Linked DNA regions of Astyanax mexicanus. The protein of the gene in region 2 binds, or shares a complex with, the protein of the main gene of each other region. Links are inferred from orthologs where the notes say so. Each region holds a gene or a part of one and is shown on either strand. Other genes may lie near its edges.

What was found.
Region 1: the proteins of ints9 (region 2) and ints4 are in contact, whole or in part, in a cryo-EM structure (PDB 8RC4), measured with the Homo sapiens proteins. The link is inferred for Astyanax mexicanus from reciprocal best matches to the Homo sapiens genes INTS9 and INTS4. Residues at the interface, in NP_060720.2 of Homo sapiens: Lys2, Tyr4, Lys18, Ser21, Thr22, Leu43, Val44, Gln45, Glu87, Glu89, Leu90, Asp92, Asp97, Thr122, Glu145, Arg146, Val147, Pro148, Lys159, Glu174, Ser176, Thr177, Ser192, Gln195, Phe206, Gly207, Ile379, His380, Ser384, Asn385; in NP_291025.3 of Homo sapiens: Leu53, Gln54, Leu57, Gln58, Arg61, Lys62, Pro86, Ser87, Leu90, Lys91, Ser94, Gln125, Gln129, Asp132, His164, Gln207, Asp208, Pro209, Arg210, Arg212, Asp244, Tyr245, Glu246, Gln247, Trp296, Phe837, Gly840, Leu841, Val842, Val843.
Region 3: the proteins of ints9 (region 2) and brat1 are in contact, whole or in part, in a cryo-EM structure (PDB 8UIB), measured with the Homo sapiens proteins. The link is inferred for Astyanax mexicanus from reciprocal best matches to the Homo sapiens genes INTS9 and BRAT1. Residues at the interface, in NP_060720.2 of Homo sapiens: Gly276, Met277, Gly279, Glu280, Cys282, Ser283, Asn284, Ala286, Leu287, Arg290, Asn291, Tyr315, Asp317, Ser318, Ala319, Gly320, Ser483, His484; in NP_689956.2 of Homo sapiens: Ala406, Pro407, Cys416, Pro460, Gln506, Lys507, Arg508, Cys510, His511, Pro512, Arg517, Glu545, Leu549, Gln552, Asp556, Pro557.

What each region holds. Positions count from the first base shown.
Region 1 is NC_064416.1:5,385,178-5,388,931, forward strand, and holds the start of ints4 (integrator complex subunit 4), read right to left. Parts: upstream 2,114-3,754; 5' UTR 2,034-2,113; coding exon 1,980-2,033; intron 497-1,979; coding exon 299-496; intron 1-298. UniProt on the Homo sapiens protein: Component of the integrator complex, a multiprotein complex that terminates RNA polymerase II (Pol II) transcription in the promoter-proximal region of genes.
Region 2 is NC_064408.1:84,687,925-84,691,678, reverse strand, and holds the start of ints9 (integrator complex subunit 9), read right to left. Parts: upstream 2,939-3,754; 5' UTR 2,840-2,938; coding exon 2,831-2,839; intron 2,801-2,830; exon of another isoform or gene 2,589-2,800; intron 2,173-2,588; coding exon 2,045-2,172; intron 1,918-2,044; coding exon 1,857-1,917; intron 1,747-1,856; coding exon 1,684-1,746; intron 1,198-1,683; coding exon 1,058-1,197; intron 386-1,057; coding exon 299-385; intron 164-298; coding exon 43-163; intron 1-42. UniProt on the Homo sapiens protein: Component of the integrator complex, a multiprotein complex that terminates RNA polymerase II (Pol II) transcription in the promoter-proximal region of genes.
Region 3 is NC_064428.1:4,847,376-4,851,129, reverse strand, and holds the start of brat1 (BRCA1-associated ATM activator 1), read right to left. Parts: upstream 2,727-3,754; 5' UTR 2,563-2,726; exon of another isoform or gene 2,331-2,562; intron 1,117-2,330; exon of another isoform or gene 1,106-1,116; 5' UTR 1,074-1,105; coding exon 947-1,073; intron 1-946. UniProt on the Homo sapiens protein: Component of a multiprotein complex required for the assembly of the RNA endonuclease module of the integrator complex.

The DNA.
Region 1 (3,754 bases), on a different chromosome or scaffold from region 2:
CTTTGTTTCAATAAAAAAATAAATTGTATGTTGCGTATTTATAATGCATCGATGAATTGTCACATCCATAATACGCAATGTCATAATCCTAAATCTGATCAGTTTCCACTTTATTTCTCTATAATCAGCTGTGCATTTTAACATGGCCATGCAAAAATGTCTTACTTTTAAAAGAAGTCAATACTGATGCTGGGAAAATTGAATTTGATAAAGTTTTATTTAAAAATCTGCAATTTAAGCATTGCACGTTATAATTCTATTGTTACACAATTCTACCCGACTCACAACACACACTTACTTTGTAATAATGCTCCAGAAGGATACGAACTACACCCTCAACACTTTCTGCCTCCACTGGCTTACGGGCGAAGCTGAGGAGATACTGCAGGGCATCTGTGGGGTTGGTGGCTTTGCACAGGTCAATATGAAGAGCTGCAGATTTACTGGGTTTGGTCAGCCGGAGCTTCTTCGCCGGTACTTCTTCAAGAAGCTGTTGCTTAAGGAAAATTGATAATAATACAAATAATTTAATGACATAAGTTATATTAACCCTAGGAATAAAATTATTGTTTTAATACAATGATTTTCGAAATGAGATAATGATTATAATATATATTTAGATATAGAAGCGGAAGAGAGACATTTGACTCTGTTAGAAACCTTTAAGTAACTCTTATGTGTCAGCGATTTTCATATTTTACACTTTTCTTTCACTAAAATATAAGATTGTGTTTACACTTTTTTAATATAAAAGCCGCATGAAAGGTTGAAGAGGGCTGCTTACTATTCAGATTTGTTTTATTAAATGAAAAAGAAATGCTGCTGTCTGTTTCCAAATAAAAACTGAAATTATGTAAAAACTAAAGTGATTATTATTTTTTACAGTATTGCCCATCCCTAATTCATGTATACATATAAACACACAAAAGGTACAAAAGGGCAGACCCATATTATCCCTTGTAAAAAAAAAAAAAAAAAAGAAGTATACTTAGGAGCATTAAAAGTATGTTCAGATTAGGTAAATAAGGTTAAAAGTGCATTTTCTATTTAATATACTTTCTGTATTTCTATAAGATTTAGTTTAAAGCAACATGCATTAAATTATACGTTATACAAGTATATATAATCAAATATATGTAGTGGCATTAAATGCTGCTTAAAGTGCACTTTAGTGTAGTTTTTCCCCCCCAAAAGCATATGTGCAGCAATACGAGAAAGTAGAACATTTACAACATACTTTAAGTGTATCAAAAAGTATGCTTTAGAGACACAAATATACTTAAATCTAATTAAGTTTGCAGACGTTATTAAAAAAGGCACTTAAAGCACAGCCTAATGCTTTTTGTTATATTCAAATATAGCTTAATTACAATTAAAATAAACGTTTTATATACGTGAACGTATTTATTTTAATGCTAAAAGTATGTACTTAACTTAGCAGGCATAATTTTAAAATATATACTTCTTTTACAAGGTAACGTTAAGTCTTTTTCATTAGAGATGTAGGACATTATTTAAAAGTAATTTCCTTCTTTTTGTAACCTTAAACAGAAATATTATTTCTTTATTTGAAGGTATACCTGGTAGCTGCATAGACTTATTTATACTAATGGCTGAACTACTTAATATAAACTGTCTAACGTTATGTAAACAGTCTCAAACACAGTGTTTGAGTAATTATTAGCTTGGTTTGGTCTTTTTAATAAATGTATAAGTTTATAAGCACTCCTGGCGTGTTATATTAGTTACATATCAATACATTACTGAGTAAAAAACACTAAAAAACGCGTAAAAACTCTTAAATAAAGAGAAAATAAAGAGTAGTGGAGACTGTAGTTAATGAGCTGCTGATTAAAAACACCGGCGCGCGGAGCAGCATTAGCCCGTTAGCTAATCGCTCCAGCCGGCCTGCAGCAGCGCTTATCTCGGTGTAACTCTGAGTAATACAGTGTATTTCTGATAAACTGAGTTTTATTTACCTGAACTACTTTAGAAAATTCCTCATAAACCCTCTTCTTCAGGTGAGCAGCCATTTTAACAAACAGCCACCGCCGGGTTCGCCTCAGCGCGCTCTGTCTGTCCCAGCTCGCGCTTCTTCTTCTTTGTCGAATTAATGGCAGCCAGCACTCCTGTCATTGGTGCATTACTGCCACTTACTGGATAGAACATGAAATGCTGAATTCTAAATCCTATTAAACAGCCCAGATAATTTAAGAAATTTAATCAACTTATATGTGTCGTGAATCATACTATGTATAGATAGATTCCCTACTGCCCGAACTCCTCCAAACACCTCTTCCCTTTGTATATCATATGCCACACACTGTATTAAGACATGTTCTATAGTCTCTGGTTGAGAGCAATACAGACAATTGCCATCCGGATGTTTACCAATTCTGAACAGACTCTGATTCAGTCCACAATGTCCTATACGTACCCTAGTAAGTACCAACTCTTCCTGTCTATTTTTACCTCTAATTATTCTCTGTCCTACTAACCTTTGAAACTTATAAAGATGCCTTCCTTTTTGTTCCCCATCCCACATACCTTGCCAAGTCCTAGTTACATATTTTTTAATGAGCAGCTTAGCCTCCTGCCTGCTTAAGGGCACTGAAACATTAATAAAGTCCAGCGTAAGGGCTCGCTTTGCCAACATATCAGCACATTCATTGCCCTCCACCCCCACATGAGCTGGTACCCACAGAAAGCCAACTGATAAACCCAAATGCTGTAACCTGAGAAGGATCATGAGGACGTCATAAATAATGTCTATCCTTGATGACTTTTGACCGTTCGTTAGGCTTTTCAAAACAGTCTGAGAGTCAGAACATATTACTGTTCTCAAGGGCCGTACATCCTCGACCCAGAGCAAGGCCATCATAATGGCCACCAATTCAGCTGTATACACTGCCACATAATCTGACACTCTCCTAATAAGTTCCGTCTTAAAGGTTGGAACATACACTGATACTCCAGCTCTTCCTGAATCTGGATCCACAGATGCGTCTGTATAAATTTTGAGGTCATATTTATAATAGAGATCTAAATATGATAGTGTTACCTGATCTTTCATCACCTGCTTCCCATGTTTCTTAAACTCATTTTGCAATTTTAAGTCAACTTCCGGCATTGGAAATAGCCAAGGAGAAATTGGTGCCGCAATCACAGTTTTACATAAACAGAGACTTTCCAGATTCATTTGCCGAGCCAATTCACCCGCTATCCACCCAAAACTTTTACCTCTGCTATCACCATGTTCCCAGCAATCCCTTAAAACTATATTAGCAGGATGATCTATATCATGCCCTTTTATTCCCACCCAGTAGGACATGGCTAACTGCTGACGTCTAAGGTCCAGCGGTGGTTCACCCGTTTCCACTAAAATCGCTGGGTTTGAGGAAGATCTAAAAGCCCCACAGCATACCCTCAATGCTTGTAACTGAACTTTATCTACCTTCTGCAACACAGTTTTTGAGGCAGACCCATAAACAACACTACCATAGTCTATTGCTGCACGAATGAGAGAGAAATATATCTGCAGTAGCGCCTTCCTACTTGCACCCCAGTCCAGTCCAGCTAGACATCTCATTACATTAATACTATGTTTACATCTTGATACCAATCTATTAATGTGAGACTGAAAAGTTAGTTTACCATCCATCCATACCCCCAAATACTTAACTTCTGAGACCTGTGTCAAAGTCTGACCATACATCTGTAGCTGAACATTCGGAACATTTCTCATTTTAGTGAA
Region 2 (3,754 bases):
ACAGTCCTAGCATCACAAGTCTAAATAGAAATGGAGACATACCACTTTCTGAGAGTAGCCCACTAGCTGCACTTTACTGAGAGCAGAGTTCACCTCCTGCATGCTGTAGCACCTTTTCCACGACCACACATCTACTGCATCCTTTAACGGCCCAGGAAGCATCCTAAAAACAAAAACATCACTCTTAAAGCTACTAAAACAAAAACACTCAACAATGTAAAACAGTGTGAATATTGTTAATGCACACATGCAACTAACACTGTTTATGACTATGTATGAAGTCCCACTGCTTCCTGACCTTTGTATTTCCTTGTTCTTCCAACAGGTGGCAGACTGAGCCTTTGGAACTCTCTCCATAAAAGTGACCAGCTCCTCCATCAACAGTCTGAGGATATAAACAAAACATTTGTTTATATACATTTTTTTTCTACCTTTTTCATGTTCATAAACTTTTATCTTTTGCTGCTTTTATTGATTATTTGTTGATTAATGTTTATATTAGCTGATGTTGTGAACCATTTAGTTCCTTCAGCTGCCTTAATGTATGAAAATTGAGGTTTATCATTATTACTATTATTCTTATTATACTATTATTATTATTATTAATTAGTAATCAATTAATTAACAGAAGCCCTTGCTCTCCTTTTACCTATATGACTTCCATCCATCAGATATTTTGCAACCCTCTACAAGTGTTAAAGCTGAAAAATAAAACTATTATGTGCACCATATTATAATAAATGTCTTTTGATCTATTTTCATACATAAGGCGCACCGGATTATAAGGCTCATTTTAAATGACAATAGTTAGGATCAAGGGTGTTGCCATGTTGTTAATCTACACAGATTTCTCTCCTTAAAATGATATATTTGGTTAAGTAAAGCATTTCTGTTATTTACAGTAGGCTTAGATGTCCAATATTTTCAACAGTGCAATTTACAGAAGCGCTAGACACGGTTGGCAACACTTTGCGATTTTTGGGAAAATTAAAGGTTTTTAAGTGCATCTTACAGTGTGAAAAATACAGTATATATACAGAACTGATAAACAGGCTACCTGCCAATCTGAAAGGTGGGTTCAGTGGCGTAGACTGTTCCTGAGAAACCTGTGTGTTCAGTGATGTAGGGCAGGGCCATCATGCAGTGGTAGTTAGAGATTAATATAACATCAACAGTGGACAAGTCCAGCAGCTCTCGCTACAAAAACAAAAACACACATCCAGCATGAAAAGGTTTAGGCACCATAGACACATTTTTTACAAACTTTAAATAATTCAGAATGTAAAAGATGCAACATTTAATTAATATATTCCAAAAATAAAAAATAAAAATCAGTTCTACCAATTGTGCACGTCAGTATAAACATATTAAGTGTACCAGGAAGCCCAAAGAAATCTATTTTAGACAATTTGAATAAATAGTGCCCTGAAATGTGAGTACAATCAGTGCGTAAAATACAAGAATAAGCACTAAATATTTTCTTGTTTAAAAGGCACAGTACCAGTCAAAGGTTTTAACACACATTCTCATTTAGTGGTTTTCTTTATTTAATTATTTTCTTTACATTGTAGATTAATATTAAATACAAAAACAGGTTAATGGACACATGAAATGATGTAGTAAACAAAAAAATGTTCTCCACAATCCCCCCAAAGACCAATATTTCAGGATACAAACACACACCTCAGGTAGACAAAACTCGGGCTGTGTGTCCACAAAAACACGACCAGCGCATTCCTTGAGCTCCTTTAACCAAGAACAGAGAGCACATTCAGTTAAGTAAAGTATCATATTACACTGAATATGCATACATTCATCCCTGCACTAATGTATTAAGAGTAAAAAATTATACTTACTTTCTCAAGATTCACTGTACCGTCCTTAGAGACCCAGCCTGGGAGTTTAGACAGTCTTGGACTGAAATGTGTTAAGAACATAAATAAACTCAGCAACAAATCATCATCACCCTATTACAAAGGTTATATTCATCACAACACTAGATATAAAAAGGTTCAGGTGAATCTGAAGTGATACGATGACACACCTGTGTACCAACGGCAGAGGGAGAAAATACAGAGCAGATGAGGTGTCCAGACCACAGTCCAACATGATTGTGGTTGATTTAAACTTGAGGACATTGCAAGGCAGCGTTGGATGACCAGATAAACAATACTGGAAAAGAAAGATGTAATCTTAGTTAGGCTAATGTACAGAATTAATTTAATGAGAATCTGAATGCTAAGCCCTGTCCACCGGCAACAATGGGCACTCGAGAGTTTTGAAGACGGTCACTTGGTTTAGTTACTGTATATCATGTGGATGTATAGTAAATGTACGGAGCTCCATCCAGTACTTTTAGGATGAGCTGGGGATGAGTTAGGGCGGGGTGGTCCTGGATTCATTCAGGCTCTTGTCACTAAATACAATCAAATCCTCACAGCAATGCTCCAAAATATAGTCGAAAGACTTTTAGAAAGATAATATACTTTTACATGCATTTACGTGAATTCATTAACAACTGGGTATTTAATGATACAAATAAAGACTGAGTTTTTTAAACATACCAATGTGAATTCTAGTACACTAACCCTACTATTCACGAGGTTGTGTTGTCTTCGAATTTCCCGTTCCACCTTAAATGCCTCGCTGTTTGAGTAAACGGTGCAGCGGGCGCGCGGAGATAACTTCCACAGATTGAAGGTAGCGCGGAAAATTCTACCATCTTTAGTCTACATTATTGTGGAGCAGCATCATCAGCCATGCTGAGGTCTGCGTGTGTTCAGAGGTGTGTACAGTCAGTAGGTCAGTGTCTGGGTTATAAAACACTCACCAGCTTCATGTTTGTGATGCGGGGATAGTTTCTATCAGGCGCTGTTTACACTGGACTCGGTTTCTCATCAGGCTGCAGTCTAGCGGTGTGGAGGAGAGAATCAGACTGAGAGACCCACACCGCCCCCGAGCGCCCAGGAGGAGAATTACCACATTATTACTGCTTTAGGAGAGCTTCAGATCCACAATACAGCTCTGGAAAACCACTTCAGTTTCTGAATCAGTTTCTCTGATTTTGCTATTTATAGGTATATGTTTGAGTAAAATGAACAATGTTGTTTTATTATATAAACTACGGACAACATTTCTCCCAAATTCCCAAAAAAAATATTGTCATTTAGAAATAAGAAATGCCTGATATTAACAAAATGATGCAGAGCTTTCAGACCTCAAATAATGCAAAGAAAACAAGTTCATATTTATAAAGTTTTCAGAAGAGTTCAGAAATCAGTATTTAGTGGAATAACCCTGGTTTTTAATCACAGTTTTCATGCATCTTGGCATGTTCTCCTCCACCAGTCTTACACACTGCTTTTGGATAACTTTATGCCACTCCTGGTGCAACATTTCAACCAGTTTAGCTTGGTTTGATGGCTTGTGATCATCCATCTACCTCTTGATATTATTCCCAAGAAACCTTTAAGTGCATATAGCATTATTATTATTTTTATTATATTAAATATAAAATATATAATATACATATTATACACATAACTGATCCTAACCCACAAATGATGTAAACTGTGAACTGTAAAAGGGATTTATTAAATGTTAATAAAAAAAATACTTGATACTGATATATATTTATCTAAAACATAAAATAAAATTATATGCTCTCCAAACAAATTCTGTGGCATTTTCCTTTTTCATTTTATTGCAATAATTTTTATTGTTTCTGACATATCCTTTCAATTGCTTAGGCAAG
Region 3 (3,754 bases), on a different chromosome or scaffold from region 2:
TGTAGCTTCAGAGTTCATCACTACACACCTCCAAACTTCATGTAGCTTCAGATTAGTTCATCACTACACACCTCCAAACTTCATGTAGCTTCAGATTAGTTCATCACTACACACCTCCAAACTTCATGTAGCTTCAGAGTTCATCACTACACACCTCCAAACTTCATGTAGCTTCAGAGTTCATCATCACTACACACCTCCAAACTTCATGTAGCTTCAGATTAGTTCATCACTACACACCTCCAAGCTTCATGTAGCTTCAGAGTTCATCATCACTACACACCTCCAAACTTCATGTAGCTTCAGAGTTCATCACTACACACCTCCAAACTTCATGTAGCTTCAGATTAGTTCATCACTACACACCTCCAAACGTCATGTAGCTTCAGAGTTCATCACTACACACCTCCAAACTTCATGTAGCTTCAGAGTTCATCATTACACACCTCCAAACTTCATGTAGCTTCAGATTAGTTCATCACTACACACCTCCAAACTTCATGTAGCTTCAGAGTTCATCATTACACACCTCCAAACTTCATGTAGCTTCAGATTAGTTCATCACTACACACCTCCAAACTTCATGTAGCTTCAGAGTTCATCACTACACACCTCCAAACTTCATGTAGCTTCAGAGTTCATCACTACACACCTCCAAACTTCATGTAGCTTCAGAGTTCATCACTACACACCTCCAAACTTCATGTAGCTTCAGATTAGTTCATCACTACACACCTCCAAACTTCATGTAGCTTCAGATTAGTTCATCACTACACACCTCCAAACTTCATGCAGCTTCAGAATAGTTCATCACTACACACCTCCAAACTTCATGTAGCTTCAGATTAGTTCATCACTACACACCTCCAAACTTCATGTAGCTTCAGATTAGTTCATCACTACACACCTCCAAACTTCAGGTAATAGGTCAGTGTAGTGTACTCACTGTGATTTATCAGGTCTTTGAACCAGTCCAGAAGCTTCTCTAAAGACGTGTCATCAGGAAGCAGAAGTTTCGGATTAGGCAGCACTTCACAGACAGCTGACAGCAAGGATGAGCAGTTACTCTCCATGGAACAACGAACAAAACAGTCAGTGTTGTGATCTTGCAGGAAACTGAAAAGAAAAGAAAAAATAACATTTAATCTTTACTGAGCTCAGTTTCAAGAGTTTCAAAATGTCATACACCACAATAATAACAATTTAAAAACAAAAATATATATGGTATATATCTAAAATAAATTAATAGAGAAAAAATAAAAAAATTTAACTAAAAATTCAGCTATCTTTAACATTTAACAAAAAATTAAACTACAGAACAAATTATTTTCAGTATCTGAGAAGCATAACGATTCTTATCAGCCTCGTGACACAGAGAGTCTGACGGTAAGTGAAGTTTAAGGGTTAACTTTATCTAGCACTTAGTACTGTATCTTTTTAAGTAAGGCTGTATCTCTGAAAACATTTTGTCCTTTAAGATTTAGAGCTGCAAAACTGACTGTGGAGGGAAGGCAGGTAGGCGTTCCATGCTGCTGTGCTGTTAGCCAATCAGAGGCGATATATTTGCATGTATGAATATTCATGAGCAAGAGCCAAATCCTGTCTTTCTTCAGAGAGCACTAATTCAGTGATCTAAAGCAGGGCTAAATAGAAACACCTTAAGCATTTTGTTTTACAAAAAAACAGCTCACATGGCATTAATTCATACTGGAGACCACAACCAATGAAATGAATTAATAACATAAATGAAAAAACGATGGAATGAGACCTTTAAAGATAAAGTTAACAGTTACTGGCTTTTCTTTAAGACAAAAAAATAATGGGCTGCTCCATTAATTTAACTGATTTTTTTGTTTCTTCCATATTCATAACTGGTTCTGAGCTCTTATTGGATACACAAAGCTACCATTTGGTATTGTTTGTTTCATTAATGTACCATTCATTAAAAAAAAAAAAAAACTGTAAAAAAATCTAAAAGTCTAAAATGCCACAAAAAATAAGTGATGAAGTAAAAAAAAAAAAAAAAAAACAAGACATGGAATTTGCAAAAATAAATAAATAAATAAATAAATAAATGAATAAATATATAAAACATCATAGGGCCTTTTATCCAATCAGAACAGTGGAATCTAACGTCAGAATAAAACACTGCCGTCTAGTGGGCCGGCCAGTATTTAAAGTATTTAAAAAAATAAATATTGCAATATTTTATATATCAGTATCTTCTTTTATATTTTTGCAGCAGCACACAGATAAAGACAGTGTTCAGCTGTGTTTTTATTAGTTATTAAGAGTTTTTAACCAATAAAATAATAATCTATTTTACTAACCTTAGACTCAGGCATGACAGTCTGCTTCCCGAGCCAGAATCCGGCCTTTTGTTATCTTAACTGGCTACAGGTAGGTCTCAGATAATCCTGTTTAACCCTGCTCTCACTCCAGGCTACACATTATTAAATATATAACTTTATTTAACAGCTTTATTTTAACGTTACTTCTTAGTGTAAATTAAAGTGGATCAACATGAAGACTCCAGATAAAACATTTATAAATGTGACTCACTGGTGCAGTATGAAGCCTCCCCCAACAGGAAAAGGCCTTAACTGTACGATATAAGGGTTATTTTAGCGGTAAATGAGAGATTATCTCTGTAATTCCTCGTTCTGTGTTTCGGGTTTCTGTCGCAGGGCTTTGGCGCCGCACGCTTGATCAGTAAACTCAGCCACAGCTGGTTTAAGGCGAGACTCTCCACTTCCTCCCTCCCCGCTAATAATCATAAAAACACTGCGCACCACCAGAGGGAGCCCGCGAGGGAGTCCTCAATCAATGGCGGTGAATGGAGCTGAACAGCTAAAACTCAAATTAAACATACTTAAGAACTACTTATCCGGCTTATTCCTGTAGCTTAAGAAAGTAAATTCAAGTATTTAGTTAATAAATCAAAGTAAACTCGTATCTATGTTTTCATTTTTATACGACAAACAGGTTTTATGCAGTAACGACGCTAGCATTACTGCGCCTGTGCGCTGACTGGTTGGTGACTGACAGCAGGAGCTCGTTTAACAGACTCATTTTAACCCTGCGTTTATATTATGTTTTCTTGCACTTAACACAGGTCAGAATAAACATTTATTAGCCAATCAAACAGCAGTTTGCCCAATTTAGAAAAATAAATGTCTGCAATCTGAAGTAAATGGCAGCATCCCAGATAATAAGGCAGCATACACACATTTAATAAATAAATAATAATAAATAATATAATAATAAATAATAATAATAAATAATAAAAGACAAATAATACATATTCATTTAATTTATTAACTAAATAAAGCTTTATTTTTGAGTGAATAACATACATTATATATTGTTTCATCATTGTAACATAATTCAGATCTGAAAGGGTTAAAGCTTTAAAACGTCTGTCTTTGGTGTTAAATTATTTAATATGGTTTTGTGTTGACAAATTATGAATCGATTAAATGTACAAACACTTATAAAATGTGATTTTTGATCAGTTGCTTCATAGGAACCTATTATTTTTGGACTCACTCAGTAGCCCTCTAGTGTCTGATAAACCCAGAACACAGAAACACAAGTGTGTGTTCTCCTCTGTAAAAGTTCTCTGATGCAGCGTCGCGTGTTCCGTGAAGTCGGCAACAGTATCTAAACAAATCTGTAAAAGTTACAAAATAAAAGCCCCCAGTGTAAAATACACATAATAATCACAACTCTTAACAATTTTTATCCAATTTTC